2 linked regions of the Canis lupus familiaris genome follow. The protein of the gene in region 2 binds, or shares a complex with, the protein of the main gene of each other region. Links are inferred from orthologs where the notes say so. Each region holds a gene or a part of one and is shown on either strand. Other genes may lie near its edges. The genes, in order: KIAA0895L and tubulin alpha-1B chain.

Region 1 (4,520 bases), on a different chromosome or scaffold from region 2:
GAAGAACTTGTCCCGCTCACGGTCCATATTGGTTGGCCGTAAGGCCACCAACATGCAAGGGCTCTTGCTGGCACCACGGCCTGCATCCTTTCGAGTCTTAGCAATGTGAGGCAGGGAGGCCGCAGACCGCAGGGTGCCCCCACCTGGGTCCCGTGCCCGTCCAGGTGGGGCCCGACCCTGGGGGCCACCTCCCCGCCGGCCAGTACTATTTACAGTATAGGTGCTCTCACTGCGACGCATGTGGCCACGGTGGCCCAAGTGCAGCTCTGAGAAGGGCTGCAGCTCAGGCCTGGGCGGCAGAGCTGAGGGGATTGACAGAGCCAGGGGCAAGGCCAGGGACCGAGGCCAGGGGTACAGCAGTGTCCCATCTCGGTCTGAGGGCTTCAGCCGATGGCCCAAGGATGAGGGACTAGCTGGCGGGCTGGGGGGTGCCTGTTCATACACCTGAGCCCCTGAGTCCAGCACCATTCTGTCCTGGGGGTCACATCCAGCCGGGTCACTCCAACTCCCCACACTGTCGACTTCTGGGGACACAGAAGGGCATGTGGAGACCATTATGAGCCGGTGTGGCCTGAGCATCAGCAGGCCTTGCGCTCCACAATGCCCTGGCCAGGTGTTCAGTGGGCTCGGGGCCTGCCACCAGGGGTCTGGGTAGCTGCCCCTCACCCCCTTCCCGGTGTCCATTCCCTCCAGGCAGGCTCATCCAAGGAAGCTGGACTGGGGGAAAGCAGGAACTATGCACTCACCTAGATGGTGGTTCTGGAATCCCCTTAGCCTATGAGCTGCCGAGAGCAAGGCCCGAGCCCCAACTCGTGCTCAGCGCCCACCTAGACTGAGACCTGGTGGCGTAGCCCCAGCTGCCGGGAGGACAGCTGAGGGGGCCTCACTACCTTCAACCTGCCTTCCGCCTATGGCATTTTCTCGGTCTCACCCCTCGCATCCCATCTAGCTCCACCACCTCCTCCACCCCAGTTGGCCTCAGTCAGGTCGGGGGCCTGCATGTCCCTTGATTATGTTACTTCCTCCACCTGGAATGCGTCCTCTCTCCTCTGGGTCATCTGTTCAAATCCAAATTAGGATCAGCTTTTGGGGAGCAGAGGGAGACTTGAGCAAATTCAAGCCAATTCCTGGTCTGTCTCCTATCAGAGGCCTCTTTCTAGTGGTCATCCCAGGCCAGCGTTGGCATGTTCACCCCTTGCTCTGTACTAGGGCTCAGAACAAGCCAGTCTCTCCCCAGAGACTGTCTGAAGGCTCCAGACTTTGAACTCCTCTGCCTGCTCAGGGCCACAATTCCAGCATTTCTCCAACGCCATCAATCTCTTCCTCTCTACTGGATTCTTTCCATCAGCATAAATACATGCTGTTATTTCTGTCCTAAAAAAAACAAAACCAAACCCCCACTTGACCCCAAACTCCTCTAGCCCCACATCTCCCGCCAGCTGCTCATTATTGCAGCACAACACCCATCACCCATCTGTACACAGTCTCAACCCTTCTTTCCTCTTCTCTCTTACGTTTCACTCCAATTAGGTTTTTATCCCCACTCTCCATTAAAATTGAGCTGAATCTGACCAAGGTCATCAATGATCTTCATATTGAACAGTGCACAGGACATAATTAATCATCTCATCTTGGAAACATGTTCCCCACTTGGCTTCCCAAATACACTCAAACATGTTCTCCTACCTCACTGGCTGTTACCTCTTGGCCTTTTTTGCTCATCATTCCTATCTTCCTGACCTCTTAACACTGTAATGGCTCAGGACTTGGAAACTTCTATGGACACTTCTCCCCTCTTCTCCATTTATACTTACTCCCAGAGTGATTTCATCTGCTTTCATGTTTCAAATACATCAGCCCAGACTTCTATAAACTTCAGACTGGTGTTGCCAGTTATCAATTCAACATCTTTACCTAAAAGTACAATAAGCATCTAAAACCGAACATGTCCCCTATCTGGAATGCTTCTCCCCATATAACCACAGGACTCACCTCTCCCACTTTCCTCAGATTTCTGCACAAATATGCTATTAGACAAGTCTCCTTGAATCACTATAAAATGGTGAACCTCCTCTTTCCTCTCCACCACAATCTTCCCTTCCCCACATTATTGGTTTCTGAAGCAGTTATCACCATATGAAGCACAGTATAGTATAGTTATCTGCTTTCTCCTTTCGAATGTTCAACAGCTGTGTCCCCAGAACCCAGAACAGTACCTGACCCAGAGCAGTTGCTCAATAAATGAACCCAAGAGTACTTCTTCTCAGAACTGGAAACATTCCTTGTCCACACTATGTCTCCCTATCTAGATCTGGTCCCCTGCCCCCACCTCCCTTCCCTCTGCCTGGTGACCAGCTCTTTGAAAAGATTTCAGGCCTCAGACTTTACTCTTCTCAACCAACTGCACACTTCTCTGGACTCCTCACTGGTCTCTGGGCACAATCTCTGGATCAATCGCCTTCATCTCCACTCCCCCCTCTTTCATTCGACCTACGTCTTCGCAATTACCAAGAATACAACTGTTTCTTTCACTTCTTTTGCCACGATTGCCCTCGCAATGTCTCTGTAGCAAATTCCTGAGCATTCCTCAGGGCTCGGCTTGGGTCTCACCTCCTCCGGGAGGCCTTCCTGGCGTCTTGGAGGCTCCCAGTGTCTGGGCGGCTCCTTTACCACCCTAAGCTGTCACTGTCGGAGCCCAGATCCGTGTTTCCTCACCACCCCCTTAACTCCCTGAGGGCAGGGACAGGTCTGACTGACCCCCATGTCCCAAGCACCCAACACTACATGAGGAATGAATGAAAGATGACTGGGGAGGAGCCCGGGCACTAGGCGGAGTCTGGCGACAAATGAGAGGGTGTGGCCTGCGCCAATAAAAAACTCCCGGAGAAGGTAACGTGGAAGGGGAGCCAATGGGGACGGGGAGATAGAGGAGGGGCGTGACCTGCAGCCAATAAGAGGCGGAGGATGGGACAAGGGGCGTGGCCAGTGGAGGGCGGAGCCGGAGGACAATGGAGGGGGGTTCTCGGCTAGAGGAGTAGGGATCGCGTCGCGCGCCTCCGCGGCCTCCCGGGGGCTGGGGGTTCCGCCCGCGTACCGCGCCCCCACCTGTTCTCTCCTCTTCTCGCCACCGCCGTCCCCTCTCCGCAGCCACCAGTCGCCGGCCGCCCGGCCCGCGGGAGCCGACCGCTGGTGACGCACGCACTCGGGCGCGCGCACGCTTACGCGAAGGCGCGCGTAGTCGCGTCAATCTCGGCGGCGGCGCGCGCCCGAGGAGGCAGGGGCGGGGCCGGGCGAGCAGAGGGGCGGTGTCCGCCACCGGGTCACGCCCCTGGGCGCGGCCGTGTCTTAAGCCCGCCCCCTCCACGCGGGCCGGAGCGTTCCCGTGCGCCGGGTGCCCGGGGGCCTCGCGGTCAGGGCCTCCACACAGTGCCCTGGCGCGGACAGGGGGGCTGTAGTCCGCCTGTGGGGGCGGAAGCTCGGTACTTGGGAGCCGCGTCCACACCGGCCGACGCCAGGATACGGGAGGCGCCGCGCACACATCAGGGCCGGAGCCAGGGTACCTTAGGCGTTTCGCTGAGCGTGGACCCCCTAGTCATCGCATTTTTATTTCATCCGCCCTTCCCCAGGACACAATTCAGGCTCTGGGGGCCGTCCCTGTGTTCGGGGGCAGCCCGGGGTCAGGCACAGGGCCCCGAGGGAAGGCAGGAGGACAGCGTAGGCGTAGGTGCCGGCACGAGGCTGAAGAGTGCGCGGCGACCCGCGGGGGGCGAGGGCTGTGGGCCGGCCTGCAGGGAGCTGAGTGCGGCCAGGCGCTGCTCTCGGGACACGTCCCCGCGCAGGTCCAAGAGGGCAGAGACGTGATCCTCGCTAGGGGGCGCCACAGGGGTGTGTGTCACCTCCGCCCCACTCCTCCCAAGCCCGCCCCCGCTCCATCCCCCCCCCCAGTCTTCACACCTCACGTCAGGAAATTTTTGTCGCAGGCCTGCCACCTCGAGGCCAAGTAGCATGGGGTCGCGGAGGTTCAGCAGGTCCCGAAGAGCGAGGAGCACGGGCGCGCACTGAACACTCTCCTCCAGGCCCTGAGCACCGCGGAGTAGGTCTCGAGTCCCCCTTCGGCCCCCGCCCAACCACTGAGACTCCCGCCCAGCTGCTCCCCTAACGGACTCTCACCAAGCCGAGGAAGAGCTCCCGAAGCTGGGCCGCGTCGTGCTGCAGGCGCTCGGCCGCCCGGGTCCTCTCGTCCGCGCCTCGGCACACCAGGCGGCCCTGCATCAGCGCGCGCAGGTACTGCAGTACCACCGTACGTTCCGCCTCGGCCAGGAGCAGCTGCGGAGAGCGCAGTGGGTCCAGCATGCCTTTTCCGTGGGCGCTTCCCTACTCCACAGTCTTCCCCTTCAACGCACCTGGACCGCAGGATTCCGCACGCGCCTGAAATCCTGGCAGAAGCGCTCCGTCCTCTTGCACACGTCGTCCAGCAGCTCTGGGCTCGAAAGCCACCGGCGTGAGGGCAGAGCCGTGAA
Region 2 (4,359 bases):
ACAGAAAGCTGTTCATGGTAGGCTTTCTCAGCAGAGATGACAGGGGCATATGTGGCCAGAGGGAAGTGGATGCGGGGATAGGGCACCAGGTTGGTCTGGAACTCCGTCAGATCCACATTCAGGGCTCCATCAAATCTGAGGGAAGCAGTGATGGAGGACACAATCTGGCTAATAAGGCGGTTGAGGTTAGTGTAGGTTGGGCGCTCAATATCGAGGTTTCTACGACAGATGTCATAGATGGCCTCATTGTCTACCATGAAGGCACAATCAGAGTGCTCCAGGGTGGTGTGGGTGGTGAGGATGGAGTTGTAGGGCTCTACTACAGCTGTGGACACCTGGGGGGCAGGGTAGATGGAGAACTCTAGCTTGGACTTCTTGCCATAATCGACAGAGAGACGTTCCATCAGCAGGGAGGTGAACCCAGAACCAGTTCCCCCGCCAAAGCTGTGGAAAACCAAGAAGCCCTGAAGACCCGTGCACTGGTCAGCCTGTTAGAAAAAAGGAATAGAGAAAACCTATTACTGCTCTTTGCTATATCATCATAAGTACACAGATTTCCACTTTTCATACAGCTCCAAGAATATAGATCTTATTTTGACAAGAAATGCTTTTAAATACATGTAGGCCTTCCTAGACTTTCTAAGCATTTCTTAATTAAAAATATCTTCATTAGTATTTGTAAAACAGCACCCAAGTAGTTCAGGTTTCAATTGAATTAAAAAAAAAAACAAAAAACTGTAAAGGAGTAGTTCACCTCACTCCATTACATTTCAATTCTGCATTTGAAATGAAAAAAACAAAACAAAACATCGTATCTCAAATGTCTTCCTTCGGATCCTTATTTACTTTATTCTTGAGAATAAACATACCAGTTTCCGAATTCGGTCCAAGACAAGGTCAATGATCTCCTTGCCAATGGTGTAGTGCCCTCGGGCATAGTTATTGGCAGCATCTTCCTTGCCTGTGATGAGCTGCTCAGGGTGGAAGAGCTGGCGGTAGGTGCCAGTGCGAACTTCATCTGGAAAAGGAAAACAAGGTGGCCACCCATCACTAACAACCTGCATGACCCTGCTCAGCCCCAGGCTGTCAGTGGAGCCTCAGACAGACCTCCTGCCCCAGTGCCCCGGGAGCTCACTTGGGTTACTGAGGCCAACTCACCAATGACTGTGGGCTCCAGGTCTACAAACACTGCCCTGGGCACATGCTTGCCAGCGCCCGTCTCACTGAAGAAGGTGTTGAAGGAGTCATCTCCTCCCCCAATGGTCTTGTCACTTGGCATCTGGCCATCGGGCTGAATGCCGTGTTCCAGGCAATAGAGCTCCCAGCAGGCATTGCCGATCTGGACACCTGCCTGGCCAACGTGGATCGAGATACACTCACGCTGCGGAAAAAACAGATAAAAATAAAAATCAGTCTTAAACTAATCTAGTAATGACGGCAAAGCAGAACAAAATTCATGTCATTTCTACAAACTTCCCCTTCTAAAACTAGTTAAAACACAATACTTTTAGATCTCTAGGGGGGAGAATCCCTTTGCTTTTTGCTCTGCATCGCTTTTAACGAATTTCTGTTCCCCACCTCTATTGGGAAGGCCCTTTTTTCCAGAGCAAGAGAGCTTAGTCACAGCTTCCTCCTTTGGAGGATGAAGATAGATAGCCATTCATCCAGGGCTCGGGCCTCTGAATGCCATTTTAGACTGGGCAGCCAGATTTCCGGGCAGTTCCCATCACAGGAAGCACGTGGCCAGAGCAGTGCGGAGGAAACGTCTGGCTGCAGGGACAAAGGGCGGGGCTTTGCGGCACAGGATGAATGAGCAATTCAGGGAGTGCGCGCGCCCGCGCCCCTCTGCGGCCGGCGGGGCCGCGCAGCTGCAGAGACACGCCGCAGCCACGTCTGCAGAAGGTCTGCCTCCGCCAACCCTCTTCCGCTTCCCCAGGCGTTGGGCTCAGCCCAGCACCTCCACATCTGTCTGGGCAGGGCAGGGGATTATCGGCGGCCCAGATCTGGAGCAAGATCCGATTTCCGTCCCCTCGGAACGCCTCACCGCCACCACCTGCTCCTACACGCATTCCTAACTCATACCGAGTTAAGGACAGATGGTCTCTAGAAGCTGCTGGGAGCTAATTGTCCCGATACCCTGACGTAACGCAGCACACTGACAAGGAGCTGTTCTCCTCCACATTCATCTTACGGCTGTCGTTGAAAGAAAGAAAAAAATAAATAAAAAAGGAAAACTCAGGCTACCAGGAGCCACGCCCTACAGCGGCAGGCCCGCAGCGACCCGGCGCGCACGCGCAGACTGCAGGGGCGGTCTCCCGCCTCTCCCTGTGGCGGGAAGGTAACGGTCGCGCGTGCGCTTTTGTGTCCGGCTCCTTCCCGCCTCCGCGCTCCTGGCAGAGGAGGAAGTGAGGGCGTGCAGAGCCCGCGCGCGCGCCCGCCAAAAGCGGGGGAAGGAAAGGGGGGGATGGGAACGCGCGGGAAAAAGGCTGTAGGGTCTCGGGCCGCCGCCGCGCCCCAAGAGGTAAGGGCGAATGGAGAACCCCGACCACGGTCTCGGGAGCCGGCGCCCGGCCATCCTCTCCCACAGTCCGAGACGAAAACGCGGCGGCCCCCCGTCCTGGCCCCAGCTGTTCTCACTGCTCCCGCCCTCGCCTCGCCTCTCGCCTTCCCAAATCAGGGCGCTCATCTCCGGCTGGCGCCCCCTCACCCACCCCCGCCCCCGCCCCCGCCCCGAGACCGCCAGGCTCGCTTCCCCCGGTCTTCCAGGGCAAGGGCGGCGCCCCGAGCGGCCCACTCACCATGGTGGCTGCGGGGTAGCAGGCGCAGGCGACAGGAGCAGACACCGGGTCCCGGTTACCGTCCCCGACAAGCTAAGAGTCGAGGTAAGTAACGCACTGAGGCGGGGGCGCCGCCGGAGCCTCTTAAGTAGCGGTCCGGGAGGGCGGGCGGGCCCGGGCGGTGCCACGGCCGCGGGCCCCTCCTCCCGCCCGGCGCGCCCACTCGGCGCCCGGCTCGGCCGCCGCAGAGGCGGGCTCCTGGCCCAGGGCGCCCCCTCCCCCCGCCCCCCCCCCGCGCGCCGGCCGTGCGGGGCGGGGTCCGCCGCGCCTGCGGACAGCGAGCTCGGGTGCTGCAGTCTGCGGCGCATGGCTGCCGGGGCCCGGGCGGGGGGCGGGGGCGGGCGCGGGTTCGCGAACCAGCACGGGGACGGGAGAGGAGGCCTGCCTCAATTTGGACGAACCCTAAGACTTAAGAAGTCCGTACAGCGTTAAAGCTGAAGCACCATGAAATGCAGAAATTTCTGGTCCGGATAGCTCAGCTGATTATTTTCAGGTTGCTACAATTTGTCAGTGAGTCTCGCCTTTTTTTTTTTTTTCCCCCTTTTCTCAGCTCCTTTAAAGGCGGTGCAGTCTTTACTTAACCTGATAATGTGGAGGATGCAAGGTTTAGAAAACAGACTCGTTTTATTTGCTTAATGACTTGCTCGTTAAACTAAGGTGGCAGACGTTGGATGCAAAAGCATTTGAGTCATTCAGAGAGTAATACCTAAGTTTGAACATCGCAGCCGTTAAAAGGGCTTCCTAGGCCCCGTGTTTAGGCATAACCAACAATTTTATGGAACAGTTCCAGGGGCTTTCAAAAGGGAAATCCAAAGATACATTTCAAATAGGAGAGCTGAATTGTAGAAGTGAGGGCAGAAACTTGGATAGTGAGGAAATTGTTGACACTGAAGGATGTTAGGAAGTAGGGAAACCTCGTGTTATTTAGAGCTTTGCAAAAACTGTATGTAATAACTGCTTTCTGCTGGTCAAGATAGATCAGTTGATTATAGCGTCCATCTAGGAGGCCCAGATTATAGTGGATATCCACTCCCTCCCAGCTCTGCCTTTGAGGAGACTATTCCATGACCATAAAGTATATAAACCCTTAGAAATGCATAAAGTGGTTAGTTAGGGTTAAAATGGGGCTTTAAAATGGGCCTAGCAGAAACCTATTGCTGTTACGCTGCTCCTCAAAATCTCCTCCCAGTGATAGTATGTTAGTAAAGAAAAAGTAAATATAAAACAGTAATAATTTACAGTTTACATTCAGTTATTACCTTACTTAGACTTGGTAAAAACTTCACCCTTCATATCAGACAAATAACAGATTTACACTGTTAATATGTCTGTAGTTTATAAGGAGATATATATATATATACATACACATATATAGGGATATATATACATATATGGATATATAAGGATATATGTATGTATATATATATATAAAGATATACACACATACACAGATACAGAAATATTTTTACTTCTTATATATATGTAAATTTTCCACTCATATGAATCTGGAATACAAACAAGA

The links.
Region 1: the proteins of tubulin alpha-1B chain (region 2) and KIAA0895L are in contact, whole or in part, in a cryo-EM structure (PDB 7Z6S), measured with the Homo sapiens proteins. The link is inferred for Canis lupus familiaris from reciprocal best matches to the Homo sapiens genes TUBA1B and MATCAP1. Residues at the interface, in NP_006073.2 of Homo sapiens: Asp345, Trp346, Arg422, Glu423, Ala426, Ala427, Glu429, Lys430, Asp431, Glu433, Glu434, Val435, Gly436, Val437, Asp438, Ser439, Val440, Glu441; in NP_001035805.1 of Homo sapiens: Lys219, Cys220, Trp223, Val226, Arg227, Gly237, Glu238, Val239, Val240, Val241, Gln242, Leu243, Met253, Met254, Val255, Glu256, Asn257, Ser258, Arg259, Pro260, Thr261.

The regions. Positions count from the first base shown.
Region 1 is NC_049226.1:82,767,508-82,772,027, reverse strand, and holds the start of KIAA0895L (uncharacterized protein KIAA0895-like homolog), read right to left. Parts: upstream 3,012-4,520; 5' UTR 2,585-3,011; coding exon 2,509-2,584; intron 1,915-2,508; exon of another isoform or gene 1,842-1,914; coding exon of another isoform or gene 1,815-1,841; intron 1,375-1,814; exon of another isoform or gene 747-1,374; intron 525-746; coding exon 1-524. Other genes in the region: EXOC3L1 (exocyst complex component 3-like protein), read right to left, coding at 3,678-3,867, 3,955-4,079, 4,171-4,326, 4,404-4,520. UniProt on the Homo sapiens protein: Tyrosine carboxypeptidase that removes the C-terminal tyrosine residue of alpha-tubulin, thereby regulating microtubule dynamics and function. Also able to remove the C-terminal phenylalanine residue of alpha-tubulin TUBA8.
Region 2 is NC_049248.1:41,186,964-41,191,322, forward strand, and holds the start of tubulin alpha-1B chain, read right to left. Parts: upstream 3,047-4,359; 5' UTR 2,802-3,046; coding exon 2,799-2,801; intron 1,382-2,798; coding exon 1,159-1,381; intron 1,019-1,158; coding exon 870-1,018; intron 489-869; coding exon 1-488. UniProt on the Homo sapiens protein: Tubulin is the major constituent of microtubules, protein filaments consisting of alpha- and beta-tubulin heterodimers. Microtubules grow by the addition of GTP-tubulin dimers to the microtubule end, where a stabilizing cap forms.